Drosophila melanogaster: one gene and its partner. The protein of the gene in region 2 interacts with the protein of the main gene of each other region in a pairwise test. Each region holds a gene or a part of one and is shown on either strand. Other genes may lie near its edges.

Region 1 (4,120 bases), 240 kb from region 2:
GCAAGTGGCTTTGCGCAAGCAGCAATCGCCACAGGAAATTATCTTACAATTTCTTTGTCAATTTGTTGCCCGTGAAAAAGTGGATACTTGCGGCAGTGCTGCCGATTCAGCTTTATTCCCGTCAGATCTGGCTTAGTCGCAGGATAGTGCTGCGCATGGCGGGAAGATAAGAACATAAACGTCTGTTTTTTAATTAGTCAGCATTTTCTTAAATATCCAAACGCACTTTATTTGAGTTATATTTTTACACTCTTTACTATACTGTTAAGTTAAGCTTATTGTATCTAAAGGTGCTATGTTCATGATATCCAAAATCCATGTAGCCATAAACAGCTTTTATCTTTTATTAAAAAACGGCAGCACCGATTATGTACGCTGCGCTGCCAACTCGCTTTAAAAAAGAGTAGCGAGTAGCCAGTGTTGCAAAGCACGTTAAGCAAGGGTCTGCTTTTTGGCGCCGTTACGGGTTTTGAAACTATATTTAAATTTATAAGTTCATAAATATAATATATAATAGCACAAACTTTATTATAAAAATCGGGGTATGCTGAAAATAACTAAAGCGGTGCAAATTGCTTTAGTTTGGTAGAATATATTATTAAGTAATTTAAACAATTGTATTTATTTACAATTTATAAACAATTTGTTTTTTATTTTTTGTAAACAAAGGGCTTGGCGGTGTTGTAGGCCAGGGAATACCTTATGTGCTTGCCAACCAATCGATCGGCTAAAGGTATTAAAGCCGGTTCACGTCTGTAAATCCCTGCCGCCTTTGGTGTCCAGGCCCGTAGACGACACTCCGAGTGGCCCGGCAGCAGGATTCCCATCCAGCCCGCAGAGCTGAGCGTAATATCACAGTTAAGCCTCGTTTCCTCGTTCCTTCCTTCACTTGCCAGCACAATATCCCCATCCTTGCATTGCAATCCCGGCCAGCGTCGCAGGCGGGCCTCCAAGTTCTCGCTAGCGAAGGGAACACCCAGAAAGGGCGAACCCACGTATCTTTTGTACACGCTTTCCGCCTCCTGTGTATCTGCTATCATGATGGGAAGATGCTCTGAGGCAAATACAAACACCTTCAGCCAGTCAAAGTGTTTCCTTGGGCTTGTTATTTCCAGCAGATCCAATCTGGCCAAACCGCCCAGTAGTATGCTCATCTGGGGCCGCAGCCGAAAGGCGCGCGGTCGGATCATGGTGGCGGGCTGCAGCTTTACCAGCTCCTCGGCGGTGAGCAGGGGAGATATTTGGTCGGGTTGCATCACACCCGGTGTGTCGTAGACCCAACGCGCTTCCTTGTACTCCTTGCCCCGATCGTTTAGCGTTGTAATCGGTCGCGAGCCACCGGCCATGGCAAAGGCATCATGGAGATTTTCGCGTCGATCGAAGGTGCGTCCAACCGGAGCCACTGGTTGAGCAGCTGCCGCTGAACCCGTTTCCCTTGCCACTGCGCGACGCTCCTTTTCCATTTCCGCCTTCTCGCTGCGCTCCGAAACCAATCTCTTAAAGCGCTGATAGACTCGATCGTTCGATGGACGCAAGATTGGAAACCGCAGCAGTTTGAGTGTGGTGCCCGGCCACGGACAGGTGGTGGCCTTGCGCACCAGGTCACTGGCCTCCGGCCGGCAGTAGTCCGAGTTAAGCAGAATGTTGAACAGCGAGCTCTTGCCCACATTGGTGCAGCCCACCAGATAGACATCGCCTTTGTAGGCCCACGTTTTGTGCAGCTGCGTTATTAGCTCCTCGATGCCATAGCCCGTTTTGGCGGATATCAAACTGACATTCTTGATATTTAGACCATTTCCACCGCCATGCTTGATGAACTCGCGCTGCAGAGAATCCTTAATATGCTGAAGATAGATGTTGGAGTCGCGCGGCAGCAGATCGACCTTGTTGCCCACCAGGAAGACGGGTCGCTTTGCGCCCAATATGTTTTGCATGCCCGGCCAAATGGAGCAGGGAAAATCGAGAAGGTCCACCAGAACAATAGCCAGTGCAAATTTGTCTTGAATGCGGGATATGGTGTCCACATAGGTCGATGGGGCCACCACCACATCCAATGCGATGTTGTAGTGGTTCAGAAAGTGACAACGCTTGCAGGTGATCGTTTGCAGTTCCTGCTGCGTCCTATCCCTGAATATTTCACTTGGTATATAGCCTGGCAGGGAGGCATTCGTGCAATGAAGGTCTGCGCCGCAGCCGTTGCATGGAACCTTTGAGGCGGGTAACGAAGGATCCGGTGTGCCCTGCTTATTCCCTCCCTCCTGGGCGCCCTGATAGAACTCGTAGTCGTCCATCCAGTCGTCGGGCAAATGCTGTTGTGTCTCAGGAATCGAGAAAGAGGGTTTTATTTTGGTCTCCAGAACAGAGCTGTAATGAACGTGCTCATGATCCTTGTACCGCTCTCTGGCGAGCAGCCACGCCCTCTGCCGAAAGCTCTGTCCCACTTCAGCGGCGGTATTCTGCCGCCTCGAACATGTGATAACCACATTTTTATTTATAATTTTATATAAACGTGTGGTTTTAAACATTTTGCAATGCCCACAAGAATTCTCACAGTGTCAGACTAAAGCCGTTTGCTACGAAACCATTTACATAGTCAGGGCTGCTAGCCGATAGATCTGAACGATTGTTATATTATTTGGCGTACAAAATAACAAGCATCAATTCAAGCAATGCTTTTTGTGTTATAAATCGAATAAAAGATATTTCAGTACATTAATTTGTGTTCATTAACTGGAAAAAAACAAAACGCATCGAAATTAGGCCGATTCATATCGAACAATCACGAGTGTATCGAAAATCGAAATCGGTGAAAGAGAAAAAAGAAAGCAGCGTTAGCGAGAAAGCAGAGGTGAGTTAAGTGCGGGACAAAAAAAAAGCGTGTATGTATTAAAATTGAAACAAAAAGATATAGAAAAAGCGTGTCCACGGCGCAATTAGCGTGCTCCTGCGGCGGTCGGCAGGCGATATACGCATTGGTAAAAGTACAGAGTACACGCCGAGTAAAAAGCAGCAGCGCACAACAAATAAAATGATTAGGAAAGTGTGTGGAAAAAAGACAAGTGTATGTGAACGGCGATTGTATGTGTGCGTGACGTGACTGTATGCGTGCTGCTGCTGCGTGTATATGAAATAAAAAGTAACGCGAAGCGCGACCTAATTTTAACCAAATATTACAATAATATTTGCATAAACAAAGGCGGCTCGGTTAATGTGACGCCAGGCATTTTGGTGGTTCCTGCGGCTTTCCACGAACGTTTGCCGACGCCATTGTCTGACCAAAAACAAAAGAAAAGAATTGAAATAGAATAAATCTCAGACGAGCACACTATTCCGTCGAGTGTAGAGTTCTTCCCGATTGAGTAATGCAATAACAACAAACGGAGCTGCTCAAATTGTTGAGAGTGTTGCAACTTTCGTTGGAACTCGTTTTGAACCGTTGTTGTTGTTGTTGTTGTTGATTTTGTCGCTCGCATCGCTCACTCACTTACTCACCGACTCACTCGCTCCTTTCCATTCTCCTGATGTTACCAAAACTGGTCTTCAAGAAGCAACAATGCAGTTTCTTGACGGGGAAGGGGAAAAATCAATAGTTCGGAAATTAGACAACTTTCAACATCCATGATTCAACGAAATGCACTCAGCCTAGAAGAAGCTACCGATAACCCCGGGCGCAAGAGCAAGCGAGATAGTTGCCGCCGCCTACCCACACTCGCACACAGCCACACACTTACACTTATGCAGCTGAATTTCCAGCGATGTCTGCTCTGCCTTTTAAGTTGTTGTTGTTGTAATGTAATTGCGAAATCATAACGGCAGTTGAAAGTTGAGAGCGCTTAGCGAAAGAGAACGAGGGACACAGAGAGCGTGAGACTAAAGTTTAAGCTCTGGCGGCAAACTATATGCCCTGCTCTCCCCCGCCCACGCAGAAACATACAGCCGGCTGCCAGTGTAGCGCATATGAGAGTCGCATCAACAACAACGCTATTTCCTCAAGAAGAAAAACACATGTTGGCCGCACAGTGGGATGGAGTGGGAGTGAAATTAAGACAAAGTCACTGAATGGAAGTGCGAATGGTGCCGCCATCTTGGTTCTTTTTTGGTCAAAAATCACGGAATGAAT
Region 2 (3,287 bases):
ACCAGGTAGCAGACAATAGCATGTGAATCCCAGATAAGGGCACCATTATCTTCGAGGAGTGGTACGGTGTGCTGCGGGTTCTTTTTGAGGAACGCATCCTTAAAGTGATCTCCTGCCAGTAGATCCATTTCCTTGTATTCGTAGTCCAAGTTTAAGGCCCGCAAGGTCAGCTTGCAAGCGCGAACAGGAGGACTAATATCCATGCCATACAAAACCAATTTATCCGACATGATGCGATCACCAGAGAGACCCAAGTTCCACTAAATTTGCCACACACAGAAATCTAAACGAGCTTAACTAAACAACCCAATTGGGTGCGCTGAGCTTGCCCCATTTGTATCTTAAATAAACTTTTGTAATTGTACACTGACGATATCATAAATGAGCGATAAAAATATTACGGTCGGGTTCCCCAACTGTGAGATAATAATTACTGACTCAAGTCCCATATTAAAGTTTATAAATTTCAGTATTTATTATAAATTCAAATATTTAAATAAATATAAATTAAATAAAAAAATAAATTAAATATTTTATATATATGTTATATTTTATTGAAGAAGTTTACGTTTTAGAAATGGATGTGTATGTTGTTAATTGATGGAATTCAAACTTGTGAAATGTCATATTTAAATATAAGTTTAGTTTCACTTGTCGCCCAGCTTGGTCCACTTGCTGCGCAGGAAGGCGACGTAGCTCTGGGCCGGAGCTTCGTTGATCTCCTTGTAGTAGGGCAGCTTATTGAGGCGATCCAACCAGGCGGTGACCTTGGGATATGTAGCAGGATCTATGTCCACGGCAGCGGGCACGGCGCTTACAGTGGGTCCGGTGGACAGATCGGCTAGGGTTAGCGAATCGCCGGCCAGGTAGGGGCTGTTGCCCAGGAACGTCTCCAGCAGCTTCAGACCCTGGTGTACGGCGTCCAGTTTTTCCTGGGGCACTTCGGTAACACCGTTTATCCAAAACGGGCGGCTGACATTGGCTATACTGGCATAGATTACACTGGCATCGAAGAAGAGACGCTGATTGACGATCGCACGCTTGGCCAGATCCTTGGGATACAGCTCATCCGACTTGGCATACTTGTCCACCAAGTAGGCGGCAATGGCATGGGAGTCCCAGATGAAAGTGCCATTATCATCGAGCATCGGTACCGTGTGTTGGGGATTCTTCTTCACATATTCCTCGCTCAGGTGCTCGCCCGCCTGAAGATTCACCTCCTTGTACTCGTAGTCCAGATTCAGGACCTTTAGGGTAAGTTTGACGGTCCTCACACAGGGACTGAGATCTGTCCCATAGAGTACAATTCCAGAGCTCGACATGATACGTGTTGTTTACCCGTCAGTGTTTTTCTTTCGACTGATCTCTCTATTTACTGTACATATATACACACCTTATTGCCTCAAGCTTTTTGCTAAATGAGAGAGCATTTCGTAAATCTAAGATAAAAGCTCGAAACCATGTGTTAAACAGTTAAAAAAAAACCATATATATAATATGTATGCCTATTTCATCATAACAAACATTAATTACCCCCAACTGATAGTTCTGGAATCATCTATATGATACTAATTTTAAAACACCATATGCAGTGGTGAACTACAAAAAACATATACTCATCAAAAACAAAGTAGGTCTCTGTGAACTCAGGAACATTGGTTGTCAGAAGAAATTAATTTAATACAGTTACTTGTTTTATGATTTATTGTAATATACATCTATTTGAATCATGTAGAACCCATGTAAATTTACAATTCAAGTCTTCCTAACGAAGCTTGAAAGTTTCTAAAAGCTTAAAGCTTAAGTTAAGCTGGCATAAAGCTTATCGTTATTTTGGATAAAATTGTATGATCTGATACACAGAAGTAATAATATTAAACTCATAATTTTATAATTATATTTATATGAAAATGTTTGCATAGAAACACTGCTAATGAGTCTGGTTACTTTAGGTTTCGTTTGGACGTTTCTAGCAGTGTATATAAGTAGCCCCTTTGGTGCTCCAACTATGATCAAATAAATCACGGGGACATTGATCAAATATTGACACAGCTAATAGATAGCAGACCGACTTATCCCGGACATTAATAAACAATCAGGCAAACTTAAACTTGCAGCATTATGACGTCTTTGTGGTAATTATCAAGAAACTAAGTTTAATATCTAATCTTATCGCGTTTGAAAGAAATTTAAATTATTTAGACTGCCTTGAGTCAGTTGTGGATGGCACACTGTCTGCTACGAATCTCAATTCAACCAGCTAGAAGGCAATTAGTTAAGCAACCACAATGGCTAACCTGATTCTATATGGCACTGAGTCCAGTCCGCCGGTCCGTGCCGTTTTGTTGACCCTTCGTGCCCTCCAGCTGGACCATGAATTCCATACGCTGGACATGCAGGCCGGCGATCATCTGAAGCCGGATATGTTACGCAAGAATCCCCAGCACACGGTACCCATGCTGGAGGATGGTGAGTCATGCATTTGGGACTCACACGCCATCATCGGCTATCTGGTGAACAAGTACGCCCAGTCGGATGAGCTCTATCCAAAGGATCCGCTGAAGCGAGCTGTGGTGGATCAGCGGCTGCATTTCGAGACCGGTGTCCTTTTTCACGGCATCTTCAAGCAATTGCAGAGAGCTCTGTTCAAAGAGAATGCCACTGAGGTGCCCAAGGATCGTTTGGCTGAGTTGAAGGATGCCTACGCCTTGCTGGAGCAATTTCTGGCGGAGAATCCCTATGTGGCCGGTCCTCAGCTGACCATCGCCGATTTTAGCATTGTGGCCACCGTGAGCACTCTGCACCTGAGCTACTGTCCCGTGGATGCGACCAAATACCCCAAATTATCCGCCTGGTTGGCACGTATCTCCGCATTGCCCTTCTATGAGGAGGACAACTTGAGAGGAGCCCGCTTGTTGGCCGATAAGATTCGCTCCAAGCTGCCCAAGCAGTTTGACAAGCTGTGGCAAAAGGCCTTTGAGGACATCAAGAGCGGAGCTGGAAAACAGTGATGCGGAAGCCATTGTCGCATCGAAAAGAGAGCATTGCCCAAAGTAAAATTGTATGTTAAATGGTATTTAATATGATGTATTAAAACTTACGCTGCTGGCAAAATGATTTAAAATGTATATTATGTTTGAATAATCTTCTTTTTTTCCCAGTGTATAGGCTCACTATATACTGTTCTGAGTTAACTGAAGACTTTGTAGCCATCTAAGTGCTCTTGGCCGGTAAATGTCCTTGATGGCGAACATTTTTTTTATGTTGTATATAAATTACTATCTAGC

The links. The genes of interacting proteins can lie anywhere in the genome.
Region 1: the proteins of GstE1 (region 2) and CG10914 interact in a two-hybrid assay, tested with the Drosophila melanogaster proteins (one large-scale study listed by BioGRID).

Annotation. Positions count from the first base shown.
Region 1 is NT_033778.4:18,156,701-18,160,820, reverse strand, and holds CG10914 (uncharacterized protein), read right to left. Parts: upstream 2,565-4,120; 5' UTR 2,526-2,564; coding exon 651-2,525; 3' UTR 511-650; downstream 1-510.
Region 2 is NT_033778.4:18,396,467-18,399,753, reverse strand, and holds GstE1 (glutathione S transferase E1), read right to left. Parts: upstream 1,362-3,287; 5' UTR 1,323-1,361; coding exon 648-1,322; 3' UTR 531-647; downstream 1-530. Other genes in the region: GstE2 (glutathione S transferase E2), read right to left, coding at 1-230; GstE10 (glutathione S transferase E10), read left to right, coding at 2,289-3,011.